Lepisosteus oculatus: one gene and its partner. The protein of the gene in region 2 interacts with the protein of the main gene of each other region in a biochemical or structural test. Links are inferred from orthologs where the notes say so. Each region holds a gene or a part of one and is shown on either strand. Other genes may lie near its edges. The genes, in order: creatine kinase, testis isozyme; arih2.

Region 1 (15,829 bases), on a different chromosome or scaffold from region 2:
ATCTTCATGTGATAATGGAGTGAGTAATCTGAGGTTCTACAGTTTCTTCCTTTCAACGGAAAGCTGCCATACATTTTAAGAAACACAACACACCCTTCTGTGACCTGGTTTATTATTCTGCACGGCCAAGCTTCTGTAATTACAGCTTGGAGTGTTAATCAGCAGCCCTATCCGTCAACTGGCTCTCTGCTGCTTGAGGGAATATTGCAAGAGGAGTTAAAAGTGAGGCAGTGTACATTTTGCATCCCATCTTCAATTCCAGCATTATGATTGATGAAATGTGTCTTAGCCTTTAAATGCTTTCACTTAAAATCTGTACTTTATCTTGATAGAGCAATGCATGTTACAGGTACTGTTATCAAGGATGTACATGTTCCAAGAGATCTTACCAGTTATGTTATTTAGCCAGAAGTGCATCTAAGTAAATCAGAATCTTATTGCTAGCTTTGTCAAATTTCAACTGCTATAAGAAATAGAGGCTACTTCAATTATTTTATACAAATTCTGGTGTATATAAATGTTAGACAGTGCTGCTAAAAATAAGCCAAACATTCCATGGGACAAGATTTATTTTCAGGTGTTACAATCCATTTTCAGAAAGAACATTGGGAGACCTTTGCAAGTACAAAAATCTTCTATCATACTGATGGAAGACCTGTCTACTATTTTTTTGTGCCACTAAAGTTTGGGTAGAGTGTATTCCTTGAACAGACATAGTGGGGAGTTTGATTGAAGGGAGTCCAGAGATTTTCACTTCTGAGCTGGCATGAGGTCATCGATTGACTGGCCTTTCTCCAGCCGCTTCTCCATGTCGACCAGGAGCTTCACCCCATCCACCACCATCTGCACCAGCTCCACCTCTGAGAAGCCCAGGCGGTCTGCATTGGAGATGTCAAACACTCCTCCCACTGCTGCAGTGTCAACGCCACCTGAGAAGAGCACCATCACAACAGGCTTTCAGATTCAGCTTGGACAGGTGATAACTTTCTCTGCCAGGGAACTGGCATTTTATACTGCCATTGATGAGATGTCAGTAAGAAACTTCACGAGTTGCAAGTTAGACAGGAAGAAACATTCTTGCCTTAGAAGTGATTTAAAGCTAACCAAGGAAATACAACTCAAAGAATTACAAGTTTTCCCTTTTTGGAAAGAATTGAACCCTTTAAGATCAAATTTGCCCAATATAAAGAGAAGCACTGACCAGTTCCACGTTTCTGAAGTCGCAGTCGCTTAAGGATTTCTCCAAACTTCTCATGCTTGCTCAGGTTGGGCAGCTTGACATGGACACCCCCACGGAGCCCAGTGCCCAGGTTGGAGGGGCAAGTCAAGATGTATCCCAGGTGCTCATTCCACATGAACTCATGGCCTTTTTCCTTGAACAGGGATTCAATCTGGAAAAGACAAAAACGCTCAAGTAACTCATTGCTCAAATCCCTCATCTTGTTTAATCACCTATCGACACTCCTGGCAGAAACCAGTACACACAAAAAAGCAAGAGGTCCTAGGGTTCAAGTCAAGGACATCTGCTGTAACACCTACCTTGGTAAGCCCATGGCAGAAGCGAGTGAAGACCTCTTTCATGTTTCCTCCCTTCTGCATGGAGATGACTCGGAGGTGATCCTCCTCATTCACCCAGACCAGGAAAGTCTTGTTGTCATTGTGCCTGGTAAAAAAAAAAGTGCAAACTGTAGATCTGAACAGGATTTGGAAACTCCATGAAGAGCTCATTCAAGAACTCATGGGAAATGTGTTCCTTGTTCACTGACCCCAAATAGACATTACAGGAATCCAAGAACTACCAGATATCTTTTTGGTAATTGAATAAATCAAGCAACTCCTCCCAAAGAGTTTACAATGATTACTGGTAAGCATTCAGGTTCCACAGCACTGTCCAAATCCATCCAACTGCAAAAGATTTGCATGGCTTAACATTCTGAAAAAGATTATGGGTATAAGTAAAATACCACATTTGTCCTTTTCAAATTCACAAGCTTTGAAATCATTAAATGGTCTAACATTTAATTTTTAGCCTTGGCTAGTTTGACATTGTAGCAAAATGCAAAACCACAATGTAAATAAGTGAAAACTGTTTAGCTATTGGAGAGTCTTGACCACTTTTTTACCCCAAATGCATACGTTTCACACTGTGTTCATAGTGCACCTCAATGCTCACCAGATGCCCCTGGCATCAGGCCAGTCACGAGCCATTCCTGAAGCCAGCAGCAGAGGGGAGACTGGCTTGTCAAAGAGGAAGTGGTCATCAATCAGCTGCTGCTGCTCTTCCTCAGTCATGTTCTTCAAAGCATAGTATTTTCCTTTAAGATCACCATCAAGGGCACTTAAACCTTAAAACAAGAGCAAATGAATATTTGTTTTAGGATGCTTAACCACTGCCAAACACATATGAAAGAGCCAAGTAAGTCTGAAATTGTAATGCCACTTGCATGTGCCAGAGGGTGCTACTTGCACAGTTTAAACTTGACAACTGATATTCAAGTCTTTAAGATGGAGATTTACCTTCAATTGCGAGTTTCTCGATGGCCCGTCTTTCTCCACGGCTGCAGTGAGGCGGCAGGCAGAACCCACGAACGCTCCTGCCCGTTCGGACACGGGAGCTCAGAACATAGTTGGGATCCAGGTCATCCCCACCCTGCAAGAGGTCCAGAGATTTTTCTGCGTTTTACTAGATAGTCCAGGAGCCCTATACAACTGCTACAAGTTAACACCCACTAGCAAGAGACAAGAGGAACATCCCAGCCGACACCTCCAGTGCGCAAAGATTTATTCTTTAGTAAAGTCACCTGCAGATGGTCTGGATTCAGGTCAGTCTTGTGTTTATCAGTTGGCTTATAGCCCCCATGTCTGTCTTTGATCACGGGGTCCAGCAGGTCCTTGAACACCTCATAAGACTCCTCATCACCTGCCACACAGCCCACCGTCATAATGAAAGGGTGGCCTGCGAAATGAAAAGTTCCTTTTGGGATGAATTGCTCAACAAAGGGACTTTGCATAAATGCTGAAGTGCTTCTGACTCGCACACAAGTTACAGCTCAATTAAGGTTAACAAACTGAAGTATTAAATACACTGACGCTACAGATGAAGCTTATCAATATTAAAAGCGAAGTCTGGAATTCATTTTTACCAGGATTATCAACCCCAGTCTGAATGACACCATCTATCGTGAATCCAGCAGGGGTAGAGCGCTCTCGCAGCTTCTTGTACATATCCAGAGTCAAGACCTTGGCCATGTGGTTGTTGTGTTTGCTCAGGTCAGGATACTCCATCTCAGCAGACAGCCTCTTGATGGTCAGTGTGGCCATTTTACTATTGCTGAACAACAACAAAATTCTACATGGTAAAGGAAAGCCACCTGCTCCACCTTAAAGTGCTCCATTGATTAGGGTCTTTTAGAACATAACAGCAACACACCTTGACATCAAGCCCTCTATTCACTAACACGTTAGTGCAAGAGGTTAGTAAAATCGTTAGTTTAGCCTCATCTAAAGATATAATAAAATGTTTTATCGATATCCCAATGTCAAGGGCAAGGTTCTCGGCATACATCTTGATATTCTTAATCTCCTGAAATTAGGCGTTTGACAATGTTTGCTCTGAGAACAGTGCAGTGATGTAACAGGACAACAGCCATTCCCCCTGCTAAGGTCTCTACAAGGGTAGCCTCTGTGCAACCATCAAGGTAACCTCTGGCAAGGTCACTGCGATAACTGGATAAAGCTTACAATGTATCCGACTTTACAAGGCGGCGACAGGTAAACGCCTTTGTGCCATTTGGAAGCAGCACTTTAAGGAAGAAGAACAGATGGCTTTTAAGGAGGAAAGCGGCTCCGATCTTTACCTGGGTTATCAACCCCAGTCTGAATGACATCATCCAGTGTAAATCCGCTAGGAGTCTGCTTATCCCGCAGGCGCCCGTACACCTCCGGAGTCAGCACCTTAGCCATGTGGTTATTGTGTTTGCTCAGGTCTGGGAACTCATCATCAGTGGAGTACTTCATCTTCATCATGTTGTGCGTGTTACCGAAAGGCATGGTTACCACCTGGGCGCAGGATGGGGGGAAAGATTGTTTACAGCGGGGGAAAAAAACGATTTCGCAAGTTCTGTGGAACGATTTAAACTTTTGTTCAGGTTGGTTTACAATATTGAGTCAATATTCCGCACAAAAAGTAACCGTACTGGTGGTATCCCTTTAAAACCATCAACGAGCATAATTTGTTAAACATTTAAAATGCATTAAATGATAAATGATTCTTGTGACTAGAGTTTAAAGTAAGCTTTTTTTAATTAAATTCAGCAGCCACACAAACTACTGTGAATCAAACTACTCGTTTGAAAACCGCAGTGTCCCGTGTCTGTGCGACAGAAGGGTTAAATGTCTGGCGCAGTATTTGTAGGTCTTCTTTCCACATTGGAAATACTTGCTGACTGCGCTTTTCAAGTTGAATTGTACATAAATTAGGGGGGGAATTAATCGAATCGATTAATCAGCTGTATCAGGCACGGAATTGTTTGATTTCTAAAAGTAATCCGAGAAACTAAATCGTTGTTCTCTTTAATCGTAGATACCTTGTCATACAGAACGGCGTTTTCAAGGACTTCGCAGGTAAGGTTTTAAAAATCTTACTCGGCAGTGCTACAGTCTATTCCGGTCTATGGTCTTATCCGCTTGCTAGCGTTTTTAATTAAGGCAAGAATCCTTGTTGCATTCAAGCAGTGATCTCCAGAAGTGCATAGTGCAGGATGACGATTTAGGTTCACAGCACAGATTTTAAAATATCACCGATTCCAGTGCAGCTCCTACGAGCTCGGACTGTAACTGGGTCAGCAACGGTTCTCGGCGTCTGTCACTCAAGTGCACCGCCGACACTTTCTCCACGGCATTGAAACCAAGTCTTTGTTCACCCTCACATACAAGTATAAACTGCGAACGATTTGTATCCATTTCTCGAGCTTGTAATGTCGCACTTGGGGAAAAAAAATGACGTTTTACATAAATAATCCAAACGGTATTTAAAGCGCGTTAAATTAAACGGTTTAGAAATAGCAATGTCCGCCTTACCCGATGATGCCGAACTTGGAAACAAAGATAGACTCCTTTTTATTCTCCCCTGGAATGAGCACACCAACCCTCACTCTGGTGTCCAGAATAACGCACCCGAGATCTTTTTTATATACAATCCACGCTCGCCTCCGATTGGTTGCTATTTGGAGTCCATTCATTCTATTGGAGAAGGGCTAAAAGCCAGCACTGTCCGCGCTTGGCTAGTTAGTAGCTTTCAGATCCAGTGACGCGTATCTTTCAAAATACTCGGTATGTTAGATAAATATACGTAAAACCTCGCTGTATTGTACTTGCTTTAGAATGTTAAACAATAAAACAAATACCAACTGTTGTCGTTTGTGCTACATGTGTTCCTAGCAATACATGTAACGAATTATCTTACACCATCTTGCATATAAAATGTATTATTTATAAGAATTTGGGTGGTTCAGGTTTATTGAACATCTTTTTTACCTTAATATCGAATATTTAATGCCCAGCCTATATAATCTCTCTTGATGTCGATAATGTTCATCACAAAATAGTGCTATTCTAGCCAAATAGTGAACAAATAGTGAAATTCAAAATTGTACATAAACTGAACTGACCGCATAAATACAATTGCATGAGGATGTCAACTGGCCCAAGGCGCACAACGAAGGTTTCTTCGTTTGGCTACCATATACAACAACTAGATGATTTGCTGCAAAATGATTTATCTTGTTGACCGGAGATTGAGGCAATCCTTTTATTAAAGCCCATCGACCACATGCAAGCTTTTCTAAGCATTATAATAGATTACATCCATGTTTATAACATGTATATTTTATGCATTTGAGGAACCACAAATACTGCGCCAAATATTTTGCTATATACATCAATAACCAAATGATTTTCAGTCAGACCTTTCAGAAAGCTTTAAGCTGTAAGAAAGGCTTTGACCTTTAAATAAACGTACTGTCTTTTTAAGACACAGATACGTCATCAACTGGGGACGGAGATCGCGCACGTTGTGTCTTCTCCCAGGTGAGTGCTGTGGTGGCTGAAGCAAGCAAACAATTATATTTAAAATAGCCTTTAAAACTCTGAATTCAAATATCGCTTATTTGGTGTAAAATACAAACTACTGGCCGGGAGGGACAGTTTAACTGGAATCCTATATTTACGTGTGAATGTGCTAGTGTTCTCTATGCAAGCTCTGTTGTATTTTGTTCACAGGGTTTCCGGCGTACATTCCCAATACTTAGGGTTCATTGTGAGTAGAGTTTGATATTTAAAAGCCCGAGTATTCGTGTAATTATTGTTTTACTCTTTCTTATCTGCGTATTCCCAACACCGGGTTATGCAGCTAATCCGACATCAGAAGGCATCTCGGAACCGTCCCGTCGGGTTCGGTGTCAGAGAAGTAACATTTCTTTAAAAAAAAACAATTTTAATCCTAAACCAAGCACAGGAACACGGGCAGCCGATGTTTTCTGGAACTTTCCCCGCTCGCTAGGCGGAAAGTTTTGCTTGGGAAATTGTCCCAGGCTCCAGGTGCCGAGACGGCTCGTGGCCGGAGGTCCGGGGAGCTGCCCGCGAGACGCCGAACTCGGTACCGGTACCGTTACAGAACCGTCTCCCTCCACCACCAAACCTTGGCATCGTGGACAACGCGAAACCGCGGAATAACACGCGTTTTGGGAGCGCGCTTTCTCCCGGCCCAGTTCTCGGCTCCTACAGCCGAACCGGACCTATGAGGTGTACCGGTATCGGAGCTCCGCTCATTCACCGCCGTCGACAAGCGAAATGTCAACCGAGTCGAGCCCCACGGAAGAGGTCACCCTGGGGGGACTGTGCCATACACATTTGGGCATTCCCACTCGTGTCTGTCCATCGTGTCCAGAGCTGGCTGGTCATTCAGGGGTAACGGGGCATATTCTCAACAGGCAGGATGGGGAGAGGCCGCTCCCGGGTTTGTGTTCTCCATGGGTTGACAGACGGTACGTGGGAATTCAGACCAGGCCCTGAGTGCAGGAAACATGGAGACGAAAAGTCTGAACAAACGTTAAAAGCAGCAGTTTGCTCCATCGATGAAGGGCCCGACGGTCAGTTAGGACCAAGGCTGCACGGAGTGACGACACCACCAAATACAGGGAAATTGACGAAACGGAAAACGCACGTCTATCATAGCCGTTAAATTTTAATTATTTTGCACGAGAACAGCTTAAAAAAACCTTTTTAGCATTTTCACACAATGTTTGAAAACTAGTTCAAAACCGATTATGTGAGGTGAAGTAATTTACGTTTCGCGACATCTCTGTGTATTACTTGAAAACAATTTCTGAACACATATTAAATTTAGCCCGTCGAAAGTAGTTACCGCAGTCACCTTGCCGAAAACAAAATGACTTAAAAGGTCTTTTTTTTCGATTAAGGGCTGTTTTATATATTTGGAGGTGAGATTAGTAGGAGTTAGTATTTGAACGACGACGTTGAAACATCGGTATGAGAAAGTCTCCGTGAACTCACAGGTCTTTCATCTTGCGGGAAAAGTGCAGCTTCACCGCCTGCCGTCGGGTTGGGGAGACTAAGGGAAGCCGTTGGTGTCGTTTGAAAAACGGGGGTCGGTTAGAACCTCCAGGTGCCGTTTTGAAAATATAAAAATCAACAAGAGACCCCCGGGCGCGAGCTGTGCGGTACCAGGCTCGTGCGCCCGCGGGCGCTGTATCCATGGACACAGCATCTTAAATGGTCCAATCCATGATTGAAGGCGACTTGACTTCACAGGTAATTGTACTTACAGCGAAGTGCTTCCACCCACCCCACCCCACGTAATCGTTTTATAAAAGACTTCCAAGACTAAAAAAAATCCTGACTGTGTGGCAGGGGAGCCTCGTTGCTTGGTCACGGCGATCAGTGGCCTAAGGCGATGCCACAAGTAACGTAGCTGTAACGTGTTACTGGGTACGTGAGGGTGTTGCAACATCCCCTGGTGACAACTGAACGAATGCAGAAAAATCGTTTCATGCCCGGCACGTTGTGGCTCTGGCAACGTCCTGAGTAAGGTTTCAACCTCGTCTCCCTGGTGGTCTGGTCTCGCATACCCTCAGTGTTTTTGTTTAAATCCCACTCTTTTGGTGAGTTAGCTTGGTTCGTTGAGAGCTGGGCAGTGTGGAGCACAGGCTGGGGTCTGCTCAGTATAGCTGTGGGGAAACAAGCTCCGAGGGTAATTGATTTTATTTAATTTTTATTTAACCAGCTGTGTCATCTGAGACCTTCCTCTTATTTTACAGTGATGGGCTGCGCATGTCCCTGGAGCATTCTGAGTGAAGGCCTTTGCCCAAGAGTATAAGAGCAGGGGCTCACCTGTGTGTACTCATGCCCAGCTTTAGGGTTACAAAGCTAGGGCCTGAACTGCACCCCCACAGGGCTCCCACAGTGCCAGTGAACAGGGGGGCTGCTTCAAGTGGCTGTCTGAACAGGACAGCTTAAACATGGCTAAACCCATCCCGCTGTGTTGGCTATAAGGCATTAATCACGGTCTTTATACCTTTATTTAACTGGATAGCAAAATTAAAACGTATTAACCTGCTTGATCATGGCGGGCATCTGCCAAAACAAATGGCATTTTTCAGTAGTGGTTTATCATACTGGTGATGATTTGTCAGCAGTTCATCTCTGTATTAGCTCGGGCTGTTGTGACATTGTTTTTTACAGCAGAGGGGAGAGTCCCTAGGGGCCTGACAGTAACGTGCCATCATTTATTATTGTTACTGTGCTGATGTTAAATGTCGTCGTTGAACATCAGTCCACGCAGAGTCAGCGACCGCTGTATTCTTAGAGTGCATCTTGAGTCATACGTTTTACAGTTCGTTGCCGATCATGTTTTCCAAGTCTTTTATTGAATCTTTTACTGTTGATTCGCTGGTTTGGGAATCTGAATAACAGGGCTGAGAGCAAACCGGGAAGTGTTTGTCGGACGGTTTCAGAAAGTCGTTGGTGCTGATCTTTCGGCCCTGTCCCGCGTCCCCCAGTTTTTAACTCCCAGTTACGAGTCTTGCATAAAGCATGTTCCACCCTGAAGGACCTTTCGTGCCCTTTCTTGAATGAATTCCAGTTACTCCCCTCAGAACGCAGATACAGGTTTTCCCAAGTTAAAAAAAGGTTCTCATGTATACCTGTGGCCGTAGCCTGGCTTAACAAACGATTCTTTAGTGTACCTCCATGAGCATCGTTGTGGGTTTGTGGGTTTTCTTGATGTGGTCTACCACTGTAAAAACAAGTTGCCCCCCTGGGGAGGATGATAAAGACTCTCTCTCCAACGGGAGCAGTCCCTCGCAGGGCGCGCGCAGGCGAGCGAACAGGCAGCCGTTAAGAGACGCCCGCCCACCCGGGGCGCCATGTCTTTGAGCCGCAGGAGGAAGCCGGAGCACCTGGGTAAAAACCCACACGGTCAAGAAACAGTGTAACGGGGGACATTCAGTGTAACGCGGTCTCTAAGAGGGCCTGAATCCCCTCAGAATGCTGACTTCTGCTGCCGCAAGAGACCGGTAGTACTGGCACCGGGGATTTCTCCGCTGTGCGGGTCGTGGCCAGCCGCGCCCAGCCCCGAGGGAGTCCTGGCACTGATTCGCCTGTTCCACAAACTCCTCACGATCGCCACCACACCTCAGACGTGAGCCTCGGACCCCCAGGCTGTGGGTCGGCCGCTCTCGGAGTCCCCCTGCTCTGCGGTTTCGCCATTAAACATCTAGGAGGTCTTCTACACAGGAGGATGCGCACCTGGAGCCCATGAGGAAGATGCTCCAGTAAATATACGTGTAGCGAGTCTGGTAGTTTTTAAAATTTATGATATGTGCAACCGTGCGTCAGATAAGCCCTGAGCTGAAAATTGTGTTCTCTAAAATAGCATCAAGTTATGTCGGCTTGCTGCCTTCATTAAGATTGCTCTCTGAAGCAGAAAATTCTTCCCAGAAAAGCTTCCGCCTTTTGGCCCCATAAGTCTCGGAAAGCATCTTTCCTCTATGCACTGGAAAAACTTGTTCCTGTATTACCGGAGTATATGTGTGGGTGGGTAAATACTTTATTATCACAATCAGAAGTGATTTTTCTCTTTTTTTTCCTTCAAAGTGGCGTAAGCCGAGATGTTCAGCGTTGTCACTAAGCCACCTTTGATCTGATTTCTTGTTGTAAGGCGAAGTTGAGCATCCATGGATGCTCCTAGGAGGTGCACTCACAAACCAAGATGAGTAAAGAACACTCCTCTCTTCACCAGACGAGGCAGCTGGAAGGTGTTTCTTTTTCTGTTATAATATTAATTCTTAACACTTATATAGCGCTCTTTTCTGGACGCTTACTCAAAGGCAGCAGGGACTCCCCTCCGCCCCCACCTGGACGATGGGCCAGTACGCTCACCACACATCAGCTCTCTGGGGAGAGAACGGAGTGATGAAGCCAGTTCAGAGATGGGGATTATTAGGAGGTCAAGACCAATAAAGGCCAGGAGAAAATTTTGCCCCGACGCCGGGGTTACACCCCTACTCTTTTCTAGAAATACCCTGGGATTTTTAATGACCACAGAGAGTCAGGACCTCAGTTTTGTCTCATCCGAAGGATGGCACCTTTTTACAGTGTAGTGTCCCCGTCACTATACTGGGGCATCAGGACCTACACAGTACACAGGGTGAGCGCCCCCTGCTGTCCCCACTAACACCTCTTCCAGCAGCAACCTTAGTTTTCCCAGGAGTCTCCCATCCAGGTACTGGCCAGGCTCACACCTGCTGAGCTCCAGTGGGCTGCCAGTTGTGAGCTGTTGTTTTTTTTTTAAGAAGCTGTAAGCCCTTGAGTTGGAGTTCATGTTCTCTTGAGCCATCTGCTCAAGGTGGGAAGACACCGGCTCGCACCTCTGAAGTCTCAGTCTGAATGTGCGGTATGCTGCATAGTTCGAATGTGGCAGATCGTTTTATTCCAAGGTCGTAAGTTCACTCTCTGTTCACTGCAGAAGGAGAAACGGGATTGTACGCTGGACGCGAGCTGACCGCCTGGACCTCTTCCCCCTCATGAGTTTCGTGGAGTACGGCGATGTCATCCAGGAGGGGGACACGGCCATCGTCTTCCTGGGCCACGACTCCATGTTCCCGGTGAAGGTGCAGCGCGGCGGCCAGACGCAGACCCGCTACGGCGCGCTGCGGCACTCCGCGGACCTGATCGGGAAGCACTACGGGTCCAAGGTGACCTGCAGCAAGGGCGGCTGGGTGTACGTCCTGCACCCCACCCCGGAGCTGTGGACCCTCAACCTCCCGCACCGCACGCAGATCCTGTACGCCACCGACATCGCCACCATCACCATGATGCTGGAGCTGAAGCCGGGCTCCGTCGTCTGCGAGTCAGGTGCGGCGCAGGCGAACTTCCCACCTTCCTCTGCGGGAAATCACCCTCCCCCCCCCCAAACTCCCCAGCCTGGGAGGTTTTAACCTTTTCCTTTCCTCCTTTCGGCCAGCAGCAGGTTTCCGGCGATGTGGTGATTGGGGGGGCGCGTGGCGCTGGGGTCGCGATTAAGAAATCAGGCTCTCCTGCTATCAGCTGTTTGCCGTGGGGGGTCTTCATCGCAGGAGGGTGGAGCTCGTTAAAAACCGAAATGGACTGAGAAGGAGTGGGACGGGAGCGTTGATCTCCCTTCTTGAGCCATGATGTGAAACTGACACTTTTGAGTTTTGTATAACTGTTAGTCAGTGATCGGGGAAGTGAGGCCTCAAGATTAGGATCCCTAACGTCTGCGTGGGGTGAAAGTTTGAGTCGTTGGAGGCTCTCGGCTGCGCCAGAAGTGACTAACTCTGCCGACTCCTCCTCGAAAAAAAAAAAATCGAAGGGGATTTTTATTTCCAAGAAACCCATATCAAAGGTTAGAGGCTTATCTTGTGAACTGGAGTTTGATCTGGATTTAGCCATGTGTCCTTGAGTAATACCTTGAGTAAACATGTCGGAAAAGACTTTGGGAACAAGCTTAAGAGCGAGCCCTGAGGCTGACTTGAAGCAAAATAGTAGCAGCAGTTTAGACGCAAAGGAGTGACCTCATACTCGGGTAGCAAAGGCAGAATGACATTGTGAATTCTGAGGCACTGTTGCAGAGAGCTGGGGTAATTTGGAATGAAGGACAAATAAAAAATGACAAGTGATAGGAGATTTTAGAGCAGAACTTGAACCCGTCTTGTTACTTGCCTCTATAAATGAAAATTTAAAAACCCACCTAAAGCCTAGCATTGAAATCAATTAGCCTGTGATTAAGAACGAACCCCAATAGACATTACCAGAACCTCTGTGTTAATGTGTCATTCACTTGACCAGGGCGTTGCCTTGTAATTACAGTGTAGTTAGTGTGTAAACAGCACTGCTTCATGGACATACCATGTCATGTACGTACAGCGATTTAAACTAATTCTCTCTCCAAGACCTTTAACCTCAAGCACGCTCTCCCCAGCTCTGTGGACTCCACAAGTCAGGCTGGGGTAGATTCAATCCGTTAGAAGTGTTCCGCAAGTTTCGAGCTCGCCTGATTGAATCGAGAGGCCTGGACAGTAAGCGCATGGAGAGTGGACCCTCGGGTCCCGGAGGTCGTGGCGTAGTGTTCGCTCCGCTCAGAGGACGCACCTTTCCCACGTTGGGTGGCACAGCAGTAAGGATGAGCTGGCTGGCGCACACTGCAGGTTCTCGGTGGGTTTCACAGCCTCTTGTGAAATATTTCCCGCTTGGAGCCCGGGAGCGACCTCCAGCTGCAGTGACAGCTGTGTAGGAGGATAATGGATGACCACAGCTGCCTGGCCGGGCCGCAGAGCCGCAGTGTCTCCCTGCCTTGCAGGCAGCACGGAGGCCCGCTAGCCGCTCTCCATCTCTCCCTGAAGAAGGAGTCCGTCCTTGCCATACTGTTATTAATGAAACAGCCCTGTGCGCTAGTTTCCTAGCTCACTATTAATAAAACTTCAGGAAAAAAAGGCCATCGTTTCTTTCCTGATCCTTATTCTTTGCAGCTCTCTGGGCTGGTTTTATTAATGCTGGAAATTAGCCTGCAGTTATAACCTTGTTATGCACGTGAAGAATATTACTCTGCTTTGCTTGAAAACGGTTTATATTTGCCCTTTTTTTAGAAGGCTGATACCGTGTGGATGCTTGGAGTGAAAGTGTTGCGGCAGCACTTTATGAAGAAGCGGCTGAAGATCATTATGTAGCTGTCAGGGACAGAAATCCATGTGGCGCTCAAGTGATCCAGTTTAGTTTGCCTTGGGAGGGTCTTAGAAGCTGTACTGAAAAGCTGCACATAGACTGTACACTGTTTTTCTAAAAACTCTACTCAAGAAGGAAGCTAACATATGTTTACTAACTCATTATTACAGATTTATTTAATGCTATTTCTCAGGGTAGTTTCATGCCGGGACATAAAAACTGAAGATCACTGTGGCGTGGCAGAGCTCTTCAACAGCATTTGAGCGCTGGTGATGTCAGGGCTTATGTAACTTTTCTTCAGGGACAAACAAAGCCCAGGTGCGGCAAGGAGCTGAATTGTCAAAATCACAGTTTGCAGCGGCTCCGGGTGAATAAATCTGATGCACAGATGGGCTGCCACACTGCTTGCTTTTCAGCAAAACTGCTGCAGTGAGGGGAGTGAAATACCCAGCCCGTTACCTCTCGGAAACCGAGCACCTCGATAACAAACATAGATGCAGTTTATGCACAAGAGCAAACACCCTTTCATAAAAATCCACCGCCCTTGCAGCATCACGTTAAACTGGCTGTCAGCGTGCACATCCTTCATGTTGGTGCACTGAAGGTTTGACTCGGCACTTTTAGCTCCTCCCCTGTGATTGGCCGGAGCTCAGGAGAAGGGGAGAGCATGCAGACCTTGTTCCATGCAGTCTGGGGGGGGCTCAGAGCAGAACTAAGGGATTTCAGCTGAAGGTCGGCAGCAGCTGACAAGGTCTTGAGTTTGAGAGAGTAAGAGCTGGCTGTCCCAGGCCTGGATTAAAAAAAATCTAGATACTGTAGCAAAGCCCTTGGTAACGCAGCCTTGTGTGGGGCTAACGCACACCAGGAGTGCCCAAACCTCGACAATATCTTTATCAGGTGACATTTTCTCTTTGCACGGGGATAATGGCAGTTGTATGTGTGATACGCCGATAATGTTGAGAACTTGTCAGAGTCAGGAGAACTGCTCCCTGGTGCTGTGTGAGATGCCCTTGTCTGTGCCCTGCCCTTCTCAGCCAGCCCCCCCCCCTCCCCCCAATCTGTGTGGGTCTGAAATATTTGCAGAACGTAATGAAGCTTGGACGTCCTCCAAGTTCTGATTTTTATCAGTTAGCCGAAGAGATATTTAACAGCACTGCGTAGCAGGTGACTTAATTAGGCGAAGATTAGGCAAGCTGGATCTTGGAACGCAATAATCCCGAGTGTAATGATTTCTATTCATATCGACAGCTGTTCACAATAGGTTTCAAGGGCACTTCTGTTTTTTTCTTCTGAGCAGGGCTGATTTCTGAGTATACGCGCACAGGAAAAATTTGGATGAGAGGTAAAAGTTGTTTTTAAAATGTACAGTCCCTTCTTGTTCAGTACCATAAAAACTAATAATGTAGCCTTCTACAGACTGCATGCAATAGATGAAAAACGCCAAAAGGGCTGATAATCTGCTTCTTTCTTGACTAGTAGTAATAATAAACTTTTTTTATATAGCACCATTTAAAGATGGCTTCTCAAAGCACTTTACAGAATGACAACGGCAAAAAATACGAAGAATACACAAGGTGAAACAACAAGGTGAATAACAATACACAGAGGAGACCGTGGATGGTTCCACTGAGTGTAGTAGGAGCAGAGGGAGGAGTGAGGGAGGTGTGCTCCATACTCCAGCTCAGAGTCAGGATTTTCTGCATTTTCCCCGCCATGTGAAAAAGACAGCCTGCCTGTCGTATCCGGGTGCATGTTCCCAAAGAGTTCTCTTTCATAATTGATGCACCCTGCCAGAGAGCAGCTCCGCTTGCGGTTTCAGGTGTCTCTTGTGCCCCCCGGCCCACAGAGCTCTGCAGTGGCACGAGAGTGTGGCTGCTCGAAGAGCCGGCCCTTGGTCCCGCAGTGTCCTATCAGGAAGATATCTACCTGCACAGCACCGTTTCTCAACTACAGGGTAGTCTTAGACCTGCAGTTCTCGGGGGGGCCCAGCTAACACTGTCTGAGCTTTATACTTCGTTAGACGTGTCCATCCTGACAAGGCCTGTGGGTAACTGAGACACTTTTTTTCAATGTTAACAATTTTTGAAGTAAAAAATACAACGTATGAAATAATTGCCATCATACCTAACACAGCCCCTGCCACCAGATACCGTGGCTAAGTTCCTACCGAGAGGCTAAGGGCTCTCCTAGGGCTTCTACACAGAAGGTACAGCTCCACAGATCCCTTCCAGCTTAACGCCACTGTTTATAGCACTTCTCGTTCCTGCTAGATTTTGTAGATTTCGCTGGAACTCTGAGCAGACATGAGCAGCGCTCCGTGTTCTTTCTTCTTCCCTTTTTGGAGTGCAGTGTCTGGACTGGATTATTTTGGAAAGAATTCAACTACCACTGCGTGCAGCCAGAGGCTCCTGTAGGTGCTGGTGTGTCAGGGCTCCCAGAGCAGCACGTGGCAGGCAGGAGTCCTGGGCTCGGCTGTCGCTCGGTCCTTCAGGGTCCCCCCTCCGACCTCAGCTGCTAGCGGTGTGTTCTTGCACTTCTATCCCGGTGTGTTCCTCTTGTCAGCCCTCCA
Region 2 (15,466 bases):
GCGAGGCCCTGACTCCATGTAGTAGGCGTAGGGATAGGTGTACTGCAGGGTGTAACGGCACTGAGAACAGACAGCAAAGCGTTAGTTAGTAACTCTCTCTCTCACACACACACACTCCGCGGGCACGCTGCGGGCGTCTGGCGGCCCCACCTTGGCCAGCAGCTTGGCGGCGTTCTGCAGGTACTGCCAGTCGATCCAGGTGCCCAGGTTGTTCATCACCCGCTCCTGGATCTTCTCCTGGATGCGCTGGTAGGTCTGCGCCTCCAGCTGCAGGCTCTTGTTGTGGTTCTCCCACTGCGGGGACACATGGGAGGACGCCCGGCGGATCAGCGCACTAGCACGGCGACCAAGGAACTTGAGCCATATCACCCTGCAAACTCACAACTGGCTCTATCAGCCCACTGAAGCCCAGCAGGTGCGAGCCTGGTCAGTACCTGGATGGGAGACTCCTGGAAAAAACAGGTTGCCGCTGGAAGAGGTGTCAGTGGGGCCAGCAGGGGGCGCTCACCCTGCGGTCTATGTGGGCCCTAATGCACCGAACCCGAAACAGCCACCGGTAAGTTGACGGACAACCTCAACATGCCCTGGCTGCCAATGAGAAGAGCCAACTGGAGGCCGCCTCTGCAGCCAATCACAGGGAGAGCAGCGACTGACCCCACCCACCCCGTGGGCCCCGCCCACCCCCACTGGCCCCACCCATGTCAGCACCGCCCACCCCCACTGGCCCCACCCATGCTGGCCCCAAACTCACCCTCTCGAAGTAGAAGAGGTATTTCTTGAGGGCTTCGCGGGCCTGGGCCTGCTGGCTCTGGTTCACGATGTCTGGGTTCTCCTTGTAGCGGCTGCACTCATAATACTCGCTGCCGTGGGTCTTCCAGTCCCCCAGGCACATCCAGCAGAAATCTGAACGGGACGGGGAGCCGGGAAAGGAGTCGGAAAAGTGAGGGAGAGGGAGAGAATGGAAAAGAGACAGGAGGGAGGGAGAGGATGCGGGAGAGGGAAGGAGGGATGACAAGGGAGGAGAGAAAGATGGAGAGGAGTGTGAGGGAGGCGTAGTGTTACAGGAGAGAGGGATTTGGTGAAAGAGGAAGAAGGGACGAAGGCAGACAGCAGGAGAGGAGAACGATGACTCTGAGGTCTGTTTAATGCACCACAAGGCATATTTAACACACTTCGAGGCACGGCGGCTCTGTGCTTTATCAGCCAACAGCGACACGGGACACAGCGCCGACAAGAACACAACAGCGACAAAGTAAAGAGCTTGACTATGAGCAACTCACCATGCTTGCACTTGGAGCATTGCTGAAAAAAACAGATCAATACAACAGCCGTTACTTCATGCAGTGACACAATCAATACAAGCACTTAACAATATATCAACGTTTCGTGAGATCAAGATGCTTGAAAACTGTGTTATCATCTAACGAGTTTTACATATAATTATTATATAATATTTTACACTAAAAGACCACATTAATTCTTCATTATATTATAAAAAATAGAATATTATCAGTAAAAATTTCTAAACTACATTCAATAGCTTGACACCACTGACTTTGATCGATTTAATAGAATTACTCACCATATGGTTGCAGCCTCCATTTTTCTCAATGCAGATATTGCACTTAGGACACTGAAAAACAAATGGACAAGTCACCACAATGCCCAGCTGTCCCAGTCCCTCACTGTCCCACACTGCCTCCCTCCCTCTCTCGGCTCTGCCCACTGTCCCACACTGCCTCACTCTCTCTCTCGGCTCTACCCACTGTCCCACACTGCCTCCCTCTCTCTCTCGGCTCTACCCACTGTCCCACACTGCCTCCCTCTCTCTCTCAGCTCTACCCACTGTCCCACACTGCCTCCCTCTCTCTCTCAGCTCTACCCACTGTCCCACACTGCCTCCCTCTCTCTCAGCTCTACCCACTGTCCCACACTGCCTCCCTCTCTCTCTCAGCTCTACCCACTGTCCCACACTGCCTCCCTCTCTCTCAGCTCTACCCACTGTCCCACACTGCCTCCCTCTCTCTCTCAGCTCTACCCACTGTCCCACACTGCCTCCCTCTCTCTCTCAGCTCTACCCACTGTCCCACACTGCCTCCCTCTCTCTCAGCTCTACCCACTGTCCCACACTGCCTCCCTCTCTCTCAGCTCTACCCACTGTCCCACACTGCCCCCCTCTCTCTCTCGGCGACTCACGTCTTTAGTGTGCGCACTGATGTAGTTCGCCGTCTCCGAGTCGTCGGCGCATTTTGTCAGCCACTTCCGTATCGTGGCGCAGTCTGTGGGGGCGTGGTACATCTGGCGGCACTTGAAGCTGAGGCGCAGGGGAGCGGGGAGGAAAAACGAGCCGGACAGGCAGAGCGGAGGAAAAGAAAAGAGGGGTTACAGGACGAAGGACAGGAGGAGCCGGAGAGAGAGTGAGGGGGAGGTAAGATAAGGGTGTAACGAGGCTAACAAACGAGAGGAGGCCAGTTGGCCCACGTGGTTTGATTGGTAGTAGTTAACAGACGCCAGGACCCACTCCAGCGGTTTCTTGAAAAAAGCCAGCGAATCGGCTTCACCAACACGGCTAGGCAGCTGGTTCCCCCCCACCACCACCCTTTGTGTAAAGAAGTGCCTCCTGCCGTCGGTTCGAAAAAGCAGTTGCACATAGCTCCCACCAGTGCTCTCGGGCTCCTGCTTCTCTGTTGGTTCTGAAGAGCCCCCGCTGCGAGAGAAAGGTGCCGAGGAGGGGGGGGGAGCGCTGTGGGTGTGTGTGTGTGTGTGCGTGTGTGTGTGTGCGTGTGTGGGTGTGCGTGTGTGGGTGTGTGTGTGTACGCGTGCGCACGTGGTGCTCGGCATTACCAGAAGACCTCGCTGCAGCGGCTGCACTGGACCCGGCGGGCCAGCGGCTCCTGGACCTGGATCACGATGGGGCAGTCCGCCCCCGGACACAGCTGCAGCTGGAAATGACTCTGAGAGGCAGAGAGGAGGGGCGTCAGTCAGGATCCGGTGGGACACGCGTGCGCACACGCTGCGTTGCACCCGCTCCTGCCACGGCAACCGGCGGCCGTGACTACCCGCTTTGAGAGAGGATCCATTCCACCAGTTACCCCCCCCCACACACACACCTGTGACCTGGGGAGCCAGGTACCGGACATCTGCCTCTGCATGACGACCTTCCCTTTGACGCCACCCCCAAGCTCCCCTTTGTGCTCTGCTTCAGTGTTGAAGAACTTGCCCGCCCGTTTCCGATCGCGTTTCGGGCTGCGTTTCCGATCGCTTAGCTCGCCCGCCCGCATTTGGGTTCTTCTCGGTGCCCTGGGACGCTGCCGAACTCGGGTACGAGCCGCGTGTCATTACACAGCCTGTACCAGAAATCTCAAAGGCACGCACAGTGCCACGGTGCAGACAGGGCCATCTCAGAACCACGTGCACAGGGGAGGGAAGGAGGACTCCCGAGAGAAAGACAGAGACCCAGACAAAGGGTCTGGGGAGGAGGATCAGAGAGGGGGAACGAGGCGAGAGGACAGGCCTGGAGAAAAACGACGCGAGGAAAGAGCACAGAGGAAGAGTGAGGCACTAGTCACAGAGACACAGACAGGAGGGGCAGTCTGCTCCAGGTTAGACGGGAGACGGGCAGATCGCGAGGGACGGACCTCGACGTAGTCTCTGAAGAGGTAGCGTCTGTATTTGTCCTTCAGCTCCTCGCTCGGCAGCAGAGGGAACACGAAGTCCTCGGGCATCCGCAGGGCACAGTCCTGGGCCATACACGAGATACCTGGGGGCAGACAGACAGACAGACGCTGACCGAGTCCGGGGCCGCACGTGACATTCCTGACCGACAGACGGACCAGCTCAACTCCCTCAAAGCCAGCACCTCCCAGAGCAGACATATCTACCCCCCCGATCCTGGAAGGCTGCAGTCCACCGGGAGTAGGATACAGGTATCCGAAAATCCCCAATGAGCACAGCACAGGGAGCACCGGTAACCCAGACACATTGAGTGAACAAGAGATCCAAATCAAAGCTGCTCAGAGTCCTTGAATGAGAAACAGCAGACACAGGGGCCCTCCTGGACCAGGAGTGAACGACAGAGATGACCAAACTTGGTCCCCGAGAACACCGGTGCCTGCTGATTTCCATTCCTGCCGAATGGAGGAATTGGTGTTCCTCCATTCAGTAGGAACACCAATGCCTTGAACTGGCCTACTGACTTGCCGAAACTCGAGGTTAATTTGCTTTGGCTCTCGGTCCTGAATTCAAACACACGGTTTCCAACAGAATGAGCAAAAAGGTGAGGTAAGGTGAAGGGCTGCTGCCCTCTCTGCTGATCCGTCTTCTCTCCCGCCCCCCCCCACCGAGCACTCACCCACGCCCACGCCATCCTTCACGAGCACGGTGCAGTGCTGCTCCCAGCATGCCTTGCAGAAGGCGTGCTGACAGGGCAGGGCGAGCAGGGAGTCCTGGCGGACGAGCTGCAGACACACGCCGCACTGCGGGGACTGGGGAGGGAGCTGGGGAGGCAGGGGGAGAAAGTGACGTAAGAACAGGCACCCAGCTTATCCCCGTCCAAAGAACCGCCTCTAAGGAAACCGCACACCTTGGAGTCATGAAATGAGACGTGCATACAAACACCGCAAGGGACAGTGACAGCAGAGACTGAGCAGTCTGTCAAGTCATCGTGAACGGTGGCCACGCTGAGGCAACGCTGTGCCTTCTGCATGCCGACACATTTCCTTGGGAATCTGTCTCCCAAGGTCCCATTTGTATTTGCACCTTATTACAGGGCTCAGCATTTCACCACGTTTGCGCAAAGAGGGTAATTAACCGGGGAAGCGCCTATAAACACGTTCATGTGCTCGTTAACGCAGGAGAGGCATACTCACAGATTTACAGGCTCCGGGCTGAACTCGAGCCTCACACAGCAGCTGGGACGAATTGGACTTGAACCTGAAACCCAAGACCAGCGGACAGGTCAGGCAAAACGGTGAGAGGAGGACTTATCGATGAATATTCTGCAGGCGTCTGACAAGGTGAGCAGCTATGTGGGCTTATCAGCAAGATGTGGCCGTCAGTGTAGGAGTGTCAACGAGACCGGCGCTCTCTGTGCGAGGCCTGTCGGTGGGAGATGACACAGTCCAGCTGAGGTCTTACCTGTCCAGTATTTCGGAAACCTGCCAGTGGAAATGAACAAGCACCAGTTTTGCAACAGCAGGCAGAACCTAGAAGGTTGGAAGGATGAAGAGGGAGAAACTTTTTACTATTCAGCTGTAACTCCAGCTTTACTTACGCCACTTCTCCGAAGACTCAGGTCCAACCTTTCCTCTCTTAAATACACACGCAGATCAGCCACTGAGCCAGCCAGTAACAGGCCCTGTGCTACTGTAAGCTTACAGGCGGAGAGTTGGACAACAGAAGTCCACTTCTGTCTCAGAGGGAGTGTGTTGAATGCCCTTCGATGCTTTTTGAGTTTCCGGAATTTAAAATAGTTGAGTCGGGGGTCGGGGCCAAAACACACAGACCGACCCAGACAAGTCTGTCCCATTCGCATGATTCCTGCGACACTGCGTGAACCAGACTCAAACAGCTGCTGTCTTCCTCGCCACCCCCACTGCCCTTCACCCTGGCCCAGACCTGCAGAGACTCCAGACTGTCAATATAGTTCAGCAAGGCCCCCAGCCTCTGCTTGGATTAACAGCTGCCGTCGCTACACCCCACCCTTCCCTCCCTCACCCTCCCTTCAGCTCTCTAACCTTCAGTGCTATAGCCACAGTGTTGACCTCCTCAGCTAGCACTCGCTGGCTCTCCCTGTAGGTCAGACAAGTGAACTGGTATTCTTCTGGATCGAACGAATCGGCGCCCTGCTGCTCCACGTCGCTGGCCACTCCTTCGTAATAATCTGCGATGTCGCCCGTCTCCTCCTCCTCCTCGCCCCCTTCCTCCTCCTCCTCCTCCTCCTCCTCGGAGTTGGCACCGAAGTCTTCCTCGTTGCTGTCGGAGGCCTGGCTGTTCATGTCCACGGACATCACTCGCTCACACACACACGGCCCACAAGACAAAACTACAAACCACACCCCTGGGGCACAGGGACTACAATTCCCAGCAGCCTCGGCGACTCAACAGCAGCAGCAGCGGAAGAAGCAGAAGAAGTCCCACCCCCCGTCACTCATTGGGTTCTCTTTTCCTGATCTGGTTTGCCAAGGAATTAGAGACCTGGGATAGAAGGAGGGAAGCAAGGGGGGGGGGAGAGACAGAAGGACAAAGGAAGAGAGAGAGAGAGATAGTGGAGAAGGAGAGAGAGAAGAACACATTCATCCAGTTCTCAGTGACGATAACAGCCAACTTCAAATACTTCAAACATCAATACAAGTGTTACCGGGATGCTGATGTCTCACAAAAACACGAAATGTACTCGTTGTCCTTTATTTGACCAGATGAGCCAAGTGAGGACACGTTTTTTTAAGGACATCGGGGACTCGGAGTGCTCTCGTGTCCACAGCCTGGCGCTGACCGGCGCAGCCCTGTCCTTACACCAGGACACTGCCCAGCGCCCGGGACAACGACGCCTGCGTCCACTCCGACCAGGCCTCCAGCCCACCACCCACCCCTTCACCCGGACCCACAGCTGGGCACGAACCGAAAGCGGCCCGGAGCGGCGCGGGATTCTCCAATCAGGGCGGATATAAAACCGCACTGCAGCTGTCATGGACCCCCCCCCCATTGGACACGCAGATCAGCCCAGGCCAATCCCCCTCCGCGACCCCCCCTCACAGCCGCCACATTTCACACGTGAAAGCCGGCGAGACCTCGGAGCCAACGAGGGAGAATCGCCGTGAGCAACTCGGCCGCGTGAGGGTCCCCATCAGGCTGTATCGCTCTCTCTTTCCCCGCCACGTGAGACCGTGCTTGGGTATCCGCCCGCGCCCTCTGACAGGACGTCAGCCCACCACAGAGCCACAGAGCCGCCTGGCCAGGACTGCGCGGATGAGTCACGAGACAGAGGCCAACCAGATCGTCTGACCCCGGACTCCTCGGAAGGAGGAAGTGGGACGTGTTACTGGAACTGTGGTGGCCCCAAGTAGGTTACAACGCACCGCTGTCATCATCATTGCTGACTCGGCTGTCTGCCTGTGCCTCTCGTAGCGATTTCCCTTTTAACCCAACCACGCCAAACCCAAAGAAAGGGACCAGGATGACAGCAACCCCCAGTGTTCTGGTCAACTCAGTAAGGAAAAGAGCACCCTACTGAAGTGTGCCACAAGCTTCCTGACAGGAAACTGTGACCAGACGCTTGTCTCGAACGGGTGGGTCTAGACTGTCCGTTCTGTGCCACTAGACAATGAACACAAGACCCCCTCCAACCTCCAGCGGTACCCGACTCTCTCGCCGTCTCCTTAACGCGGCCGTGCCGGCGCTCCCCGGCACGTATTACGGACGAGACATCGCTCGTCTCTCGCTCTGGGCCGGACGTGTGAGTTCAGCAACGCGGGCGCCGGCTGGGGTGGGTATCCAGGCCGCCAGCATCCCCGCGTCCGGGCTGGGACCCAGCGGTCAGCGGGGAACACCGTGTCCTGAGCGCGCCTCACATTCCGGCCGCGGCTATTAATAGAGCCGCCGACCGGCCAACACGCACGACTCCCCAGGTCCGGCGCGCCAGGGCTCAGCGGGCGGGGAGGCAGCAACAGGAGGCAGGGGCCGGAGCCAGGCTTTGTTTACATCGCGCTTTCGAACTCGCTGCGCTCTCAAACACGAGAAAGTAAAAACAAAGAGAGGACCCTCACCCCACAAGCCCACCTCTCCCCTTCCTCACGTCCACCCAGAACCAGTCCCCGGCCCCTCTAAGGTACGGTCCCTGCTCCCTGTCCCCCCACCGCTGACCTGCACCTTCGCTCCGTTCCCGCAGCGGACAACGAGGCCGCCGCCGCGTCTGACCCGAGCTCGGGGATCGACATGTAAACAAGGCCGCACGGGGATTATCCTCGCCCTCCCCAGCTGCCCCCCCTTAGCCACAAGGGTCTCCCGCTCCGGTCCGCCGCCACTACTCCACTCACCACTGGGGCCGCTGTCAACCCGTTTCGTTCTGCGGACTTTCGGCCCAGATCCGGCGACTTGCGCTCGACTCGGTTCCGCTACCCGACCTGCAGCAAAAGGGAACACAGGAAACACAAGGGGAACTCGTCGCTGCGTCACATCCGGCTGCAGGGAAAGGGGGGAGGGGTTTCTGGGATAAAGGGGGAGGGGATTATCGCGGTGTGGGCGGGGTCTGTTTGTGTGTTGTTGACGGCGCCTGATGAACAGCTCTTGCCTACTGCGGGTTACTTCTTTAAAGCCCAGAAAGAAAAATAAACTTTTTTTTTTTAGTTTTTCAGCTGCTGGAGCTGAAGACAGGTTTAAGGCCACATTAAGTTTAGGTGTGGGTGAGAAGCTACAGCTTGCCCACAATGGGAGCTGGCTTTTGGATTGACGGCAGCGTTAAGGGGCACTGTATAGGCTGGGAGTTAAAGTCGGGGGTCAGTGTCAGTATCAGGGGCTCCAGCCATCAGAAAGGTGTCAGGCAAGAGGAGCCACCCAGCCCACGTAGTTCATCTGGCTGCTGGGAGATAACTCCTGTGAGCAATCTCCTCGAGCTGTTTCTTTAAAGACGCCAGGGTATCGGCCTCAACGGCAGAATGGCGTGTGCCAGACTCCCACCACCCTTTGTGTAAAGAAGTGTCCCCTGTTCTCGGACGAATCCATGCAAGCTCCACACCCTGCACTCAGAACCCTGGAGCTGTTGCGAAGTTGTGCTACCCTGCCTGCCCACACCCCGTGTCACCAGTGGAGTTTTTAAATCCCACAGTTCACCTTTGAAAGTTCTGCTTTTGCGCTCCCTTGCGTTGCTCTGCTTGTTGCCCGGTGTTTACCTCCTGTGTGGACCGCTCCAGGCGGCGCTCCTCTGCGCCACATGGATTTCGACCTCTCGGTCATCCGTCAGCGCCTGAGCCGTCCTCGAAGAGAAGGCCCTCAAAGTCATCGTGTCAACACGAGGGTGCTGGGGCTGGAGCTCAGGCTCAGGAGGGCAGGCCCCGGCCCGGAGAGGTGACTGTCCGGCTCCTCTGCTGGCCCGCTGAGGCAGGACACCCCTGGGAGAGGGGAGTGAGAGGGCGACTCTGTGTCCGCATGGCGCTTCTTGTGAGGCGTGGGGTTAATGGGATTGACTGTCCCTGGCCTAGTTATTAGCGCAGGGACAGTAATCTGTTTAAAGGCCTGACGAAGGAATCCCTGCCTGTAATCCTCACAGGCCAGTCTGTTCCCGCAGAGGGGTCCCTCTCTGCTCAGGCCGTGTCCTTCACTCGGATAAGTGACCTTTGCACCTCTGAGCCTCCGCTAATCCCCAGTACATCTCTTTCACCCCCCGAGTCCCTCACTCTGTCCCCCTTCCTCTCCTTCCACAAACGCCACGTAGGCTGAGGCTCAGTGAAATCAGGGTGAAACCATCACAAACTCCTGTTGGTAAGACAGAAGTCAATGCATAGTATTAATGGGGGAAATCTTTTTTTACAAATTGAGGATCACCAGTTTACGTTTTTATTCTGCCCTGCCCCGTGGGGAATGGTCCCCAGACTAATGCCACCCTGTCTAATGGTACTGCTACTGTTGTAATGAAGTTTCATTAAAGCCAAAACAAACCAGGGAGTCAGACAGCATGTCTCCAAAAACATTTATTGGGGTGGACTGGCTCTGTTTAACACACACTGTGGAAGGGAGGGACTGAAGGGGGAGAAGGGAGGGGCTAGCCCATGACCCTGTGCTATTCCCATTGGTCAGCTGCCATTGGGGTGGAGCCACACAATGACCAATGAGTTTACAAGATGGGAATGCTGGGAGATTAGCTGGGGAGAAAGAGCAGTGTTTGAAATGGGGGTTCTGTCCTTGTTTGTCTGTCAATTTTTTTTTCTCAATTAAGTAAACTGAGTCTGGCTGCTCATTTATCCATCGTTCCAGTAGGTCATTGTCAGTGTGTCGGCGTGCCACGGTGCTGTGTGTCATCGGCCGTCCGGTGTTCCGCTCCGTCTGTCTCTGCGTGCGCGAGCCCCTCAGTCCTCCTCACAGACATCGCAGTGCTCTCTGCGCAGGTTGCCAAAGTTGAACTCTGACCCTGTCATGCGGCGGTACATGTCCTTGATGTCCTCACACTCCGTCTCAAAGTGCGTTGTGGCATCATAGGAGTGAGAAATAAATATCTGGACGGGGAGAGAGACAAAGACCCACTGTTTTCCACTATTTCCAAATTACATGTAATTGCAAAAAAGATTACACATTCCTATATATCCTCACACTAGTTACTGAACCCCTCCCCCAGCTGGACGGCCATTATCACTCTCCTATATATCCTCACACTAATTACTGAACAAGTAAGAGGTTTATTCCATGCTGAAAAAAAAGAAGAAAGAGAACACAACGTTTCGGCCATGGAGCCTTCTTCAGGTGTAGTCTGCCTGTGTCCAGTGTTTCTGTCCAGACTGTGGTCACTGAGCCTGTCCTCTCTGGACAGCCAGGTCTGCCTTTGTCCAGTGTCAGTGTCTGTGTCCAGACTGTGGTCACTGAGCCTGTCCTCCCTGGGCAGCCAGGTCTGCCTGTGTCCAGTGTCTGTGTCCAGACTTTGGTCGCTGAGCCTGTCCTCTCTTGAAGAAGGACACCTGAAGAAGGCTCCACGGCCGAAACGTTGTGTTCTCTTTCTTCTTTTTTTTCAGCATGGAATAAACCTATTACTTGTTCCTTTGCAGCCTATGCATGCTGACGCAGCTCCCCACCTGATTACTGAACCCCTCCCCCAGCTGCATGGCCACTCCCACTCTCCTATATATCCTCACACTAGTTACTGAACCCCTCCCCCAGCTGCATGGCCACTCCCACTCTCCTATATATCCTCACACTAGTTACTGAACCCCTCCCCCAGCTGCATGGCCACTCCCACTCTCCTATATATCCTCACACTAGTTACTGAACCCCTCCCCCAGCTGCATGGCCACTCCCACTCTCCTATATATCCTCACACTAGTTACTGAACCCCTCCCCCTTTTCACAGAACCCCTCCTAAACTGCCACTCCCATATTTACATATCCCCTCCCCTTATTGCAAACGTCCTCCCTGAGTTATCTGATCACTCTGATAGTTACAGCTTCCTTCCTCTCATTGCAGGTTTCCCAGGTTTACCACACCCCTCGCTGCCAAGCCCCTCCCCTGGTTACCAAGCCACCTATTACCTGGCTCTTGCTCCCATCGTCGGTGGGGACAAGCAGGTTGCTAACGGAGACGAACCTGTTGACCAATCGCATGGCATGAAGACACGTCAGTACTTAAGAGCAGGAAATAAAGATTGACTTATTTTCATAGTCTGGGCCTCTTCCACTGCAGTGCAACCTCTTGGTGAAAGTCTGTCTGTGTCAGTATGCGGGCTCTCTGGACAGCCAGGTCTGTCTGTGTCCAGTTTCTATAACCAAGCTGTGGTCACTGAGCCTGTCCTCTCTTGACAGCCAGGTCTGCCTGTGTCCAGTGTCTGTGTCCAGACTGTGGTCACTGAGCCTGTCCTCTCTGGGCAGCCAGGTCTGCCTGTGTCTAGTGTCAGTGTCTGTGTCCAGACTGTGGTCACTGAGCCTGTCCTCTCTGGGCAGCCAGGTCTGCCTGTGTCTAGTGTCAGTGTCTGTGTCCAGACTGTGGTCACTGAGCCTGTCCTCTCTGGACAGCCAGGTCTGCCTGTGTCCAGTTTCTCTGGCCAGGCTGTGGTCACTGAGCCTGTCCTCTCTGGGCAGCCAGGTCTGCCTGGGGTGTCCAGGCTGTGGTCACTCACTTCTGCATGATGGGCTCCAGCAGGTCCAGGCCGGGCTGCACCTCTTTCTCGGGGTTGCTGGTTTCCACTGTGGTGCTCACCATGGCGATGTACTTCCCCTCCGCCGCCACGTTGTGGGCGTAGGACACCATGCACACGTAGACGTCTGCGCGGGCGAGAGGCGGGGGGCGAGAGGCGTGGGCGCCGGGAAAGACAGGGGGCACGGGGAGGGGGGGAGGGCGTGGGGCGTTATTACTGTGGGGCTTTCAGACAAAACCCAGCTCATCGGGCCAGAAGGCGCACTGGGCTCTGCAGGGTGAGGTGGACTGAGAGCGTGTTGTATGATTAAACGAAACAGAGCACTTTCAGGAGGAGAGAGAGGTGGGGTCCAAGGCTCTAGACCACTGGTCTTCAAGGTACGCGATTGAATACGATTGGCAACTGTGAATAACTGATGAATCAGTCTACCAATCTGTTAAGTGAACTCTGGTCTTTAGGAACCAAAGAGTGCTTACATTGTGGTCCTAAAAGACCTCTGAATTAATTAAACACATCACCTGTTTAATTGCTCATAAGGGAATTGTTACCTCTCTGTAGATTTTGTTTTCTATTTCTCTCTGTAGAAACTGGTGACTTATTGTGGACCTACACAGCCTGCTGGCCTGGGGGTCACATAACCTGTGATGTCGTCATTGCGTTCGGGATTCCCTGCGATGTCATACCCGACTTCCTGTTGAGCTGCGTCTGTGGGATGATGATCTGGCAAGAGTTAGCGTCCTGCGTGTGCTTGATCGGATGGTTCAGGATGCAAATGACCCGGATGACCCGGCCCACTTTCCTGACCCGGTTCGGCACGTAGGAGGGGTCGCAAATCAGCTGCTTACAGCGGGCCATCTGCGGGGCAGTGGGGGGGGGGCGGGGGTATTTAATGAAAAATAAAGGGCAAAGAAGGATAGACTGTCTCACCTAGAGCACGACTCCCAGCTCAGGTCCTAGAGGCTAAAATGAACTGCCTAGTTGACGTCTCCTCTGCAGACCCCCCTCCCTCTCTCTGCCTTTTTCCATCTGCCTGCCTGCCTCATTCCCTTTCTCTTTTTGCCTCCATTCCATTCTTTCATCTTTTTATCCTTTTTGCTTCTGTCATTCATGAGAACATATGACGGGTCATGGACAATTCAGTCCATCTGGGCACTTTGGATAGCTATTTGATCCCAGGATCTCATCCAGCTGTCACTGGAAAGAAACCAGGGCTTCAGCTTCAACAACATGGCTGCCCAGCTTGTTCCACACCCCCACCACCCCTTGTGTAAAGCAAAGTTCTCAGTTTGAAATGCTCTTCCCTGTAGTTTCCACTTTTTGTAGCTCAGTTCATCCCCAGGATCTCTCTCCCAGACTTTCCGTCCCCCAGTGTCTCTCCCACCTCTCCATCTGAGCGGACACCCACGACTCTTCCGTTCTCCAGCACGATCTCATCCACCGGGCGGTTCAGCATGTAGGTCCCTCCATAGACCGCACTGAGCCTGGGGAGAGGGAGAGAGAGGGACAGGGGCAGGGGGAGAGGAGGGGAGAGAGGGATGGGGCAGAGAGAGAGGGAAGGATAGGAAGAGAGAGGGACGGGGGATGGAGAGGGAGGGAGAGGAACACGGAGAGGGAGGGAAAGAGAGAGGGAGAGAAAGAGGGACAGGGAGAGAGGGAGAGAGAGGGAAGAAAGAGACAGTGTTCTGAGCAGTTACTGCAGGAGGTCTGGCAGACTGTTGCTGATCTAAGAAGCGTCAGTGTCCCCTTTGTATTTTGTGCTGCATGCATGTATGTTTTTATGCCCTGCAAGGTTGAGATACTAGACCTACTCGCTGAGAGGACCCTCCCAAGACATGCTGTGTGAGAGTCTGGGGTGATTAAGTGGACCTGAACTGGGCTAGATGGTGCTACTCTCATCTGCAACCTCTCTGCTGTCCCTCGGCCCTGGGGTCTTACCTGGCAAAGCCCTGGGGAAGCTCCCCCAGCCCGTACAGGGGGTACAGGTAGGGGCTCTTGTTGTAGCGAGCCAGAGATTCGCAGTATAGCTTGATCCGCTGGATGGTGTCGATGCAGGGCTGGTCCAGGTAGCTGCGAGACACAGGGGCAGTGAGACAAACCGAGGCAGGGAGAGGGATCCACGCAGGAAAGATCTCCGTTCAAGTCCCACTCCCTCCCTGGCTGTGGCTGAAGAGGTCGAGCTCCTTGGGAAACCAGAGCCCTGGGGTGAGATCAGGTGCTCGCTCCCCAAGCCCCTGAGCCTGTTCCAGTTAGTTGCACTCATACAGCATCCTTCACCCCAAAGAAAAGCAAAGCGCTTGACACACGGGGGGGAGACCCACTTCACCCGCCACTGAAGAGCAGCACACAGCAGCCCCGCAGCACACAGGCCTGGGGAGGAGACAGCGGGGGAGAATCAAGAGAGGACTTTAGGGAGGCCAGACAGTTCCAGACGAAAACAGAGCGGAGTTCAGCCGGGGCGCTGGAGTTAACACCCCTGCTTCTGCTAGGAGCCTTGCCATCGGCTCTTCGGACCATGTGTTCAAGACCTCAGCTTAACGTCTCACCCGGAGGACAACTCCTGCTACAGCACAATGTCTGCACTCACCATTCTCGTCCAGAGGAAAGGCGCCTCCTACTGCACCACTAACCACTAACGCCACTTACAACTGCCTCCTGTTTTATCCTGAGAGGTCTCCCGTCCCATTTTTCAGCCCTGTGGAGGCCATGGATGATCACTGTGTTAGTCCAAGGGCGCATGAATAACAGTGGTCTCTCGGGGAAGGGCTCAGTGCTCGGTTTAGAAATAACGCATGCTGTCTGTGCTGTAGCTCTGCACCTGCCCTGAAGCAACCAGAGTGAACGCAGGGGAGCGCCCCCTGCAGGCGGCGGTACTGACTTGTCGTTGCGGTGCAGCGCCAGCGCGTGCCCGGTGAACTCGATCACATCGGGCCCCAGGTCGAACTTGCGGAAGACGTCACGCATGGAGGTCTGGTGGGGGTCCAGGTCCTGGTGGGTCCGCGGGTCGCCCTCGTCGAAGTTCAGGATGAACAGGAGCAGCTTCCGGAAACGGCGCTTGTCAAACATCCCCATCAGGTCTGTACAGACACACAGAGACAGAGGCAGTACCCTCTCACACACAGTACGGACACACAGAGACAGAGGCAGTACCCTCTCACACACACAGTACAGACACACAGAGACAGAGGCAGTACCCTCTCACACACAGTACAGACACACAGAGACAGAGGCAGTACCCTCTCACACACAGTACAGAGACACAGAGACAGAGGCAGTACCCTCTCGCACACAGTACAGAGACACAGAGACAGAGGCAGTACCCTCTCGCACACAGTACAGAGACACAGAGACAGAGGCAGTACCCTCTCGCACACAGTACAGAGACACAGAGACAGAGGCAGTACCCTCTCGCACACAGTACAGAGACACAGAGACAGAGGCAGTACCCTCTCGCACACAGTACAGAGACACAGAGACAGAGGCAGTACCCTCTCGCACACAGTACAGAGACACAGAGACAGAGGCAGTACCCTCTCGCACACAGTACAGAGACACAGAGACAGAGGCAGTACCCTCTCGCACACAGTACAGAGACACAGAGACAGAGGCAGTACCCTCTCGCACACAGTACAGACACA

The links.
Region 1: of the proteins of arih2 (region 2) and creatine kinase, testis isozyme, one has a biochemical effect on the other in vitro, tested with the Homo sapiens proteins (2 studies listed by BioGRID). The link is inferred for Lepisosteus oculatus from reciprocal best matches to the Homo sapiens genes ARIH2 and CKB.

Annotation. Positions count from the first base shown.
Region 1 is NC_090703.1:6,847,918-6,863,746, forward strand, and holds creatine kinase, testis isozyme, read right to left. Parts: upstream 7,682-15,829; 5' UTR 7,584-7,681; coding exon 7,573-7,583; intron 6,088-7,572; exon of another isoform or gene 6,032-6,087; intron 5,185-6,031; exon of another isoform or gene 5,080-5,184; intron 4,060-5,079; exon of another isoform or gene 4,051-4,059; coding exon of another isoform or gene 3,858-4,050; intron 3,332-3,857; coding exon 3,144-3,331; intron 2,957-3,143; coding exon 2,802-2,956; intron 2,651-2,801; coding exon 2,518-2,650; intron 2,346-2,517; coding exon 2,174-2,345; intron 1,664-2,173; coding exon 1,540-1,663; intron 1,392-1,539; coding exon 1,202-1,391; intron 930-1,201; coding exon 751-929; 3' UTR 552-750; downstream 1-551. Other genes in the region: tRNA (adenine(58)-N(1))-methyltransferase catalytic subunit TRMT61A, read left to right, coding at 10,106-10,113, 11,045-11,433. UniProt on the Homo sapiens protein: Reversibly catalyzes the transfer of phosphate between ATP and various phosphogens (e.g. creatine phosphate).
Region 2 is NC_090699.1:65,597,853-65,613,318, forward strand, and holds the start of arih2 (E3 ubiquitin-protein ligase ARIH2), read right to left. Parts: upstream 8,164-15,466; 5' UTR 8,034-8,163; intron 8,025-8,033; exon of another isoform or gene 7,861-8,024; intron 6,196-7,860; 5' UTR 6,009-6,195; coding exon 5,736-6,008; intron 5,205-5,735; coding exon 5,137-5,204; intron 4,933-5,136; coding exon 4,869-4,932; intron 4,497-4,868; coding exon 4,352-4,496; intron 3,761-4,351; coding exon 3,639-3,760; intron 2,955-3,638; coding exon 2,845-2,954; intron 2,315-2,844; coding exon 2,197-2,314; intron 1,634-2,196; coding exon 1,583-1,633; intron 1,303-1,582; coding exon 1,281-1,302; intron 904-1,280; coding exon 752-903; intron 295-751; coding exon 151-294; intron 61-150; coding exon 1-60. Other genes in the region: rab GDP dissociation inhibitor beta, read right to left, coding at 10,059-10,205, 11,230-11,284, 11,814-11,958, 12,515-12,686, 13,213-13,312, 13,767-13,898, 14,707-14,905.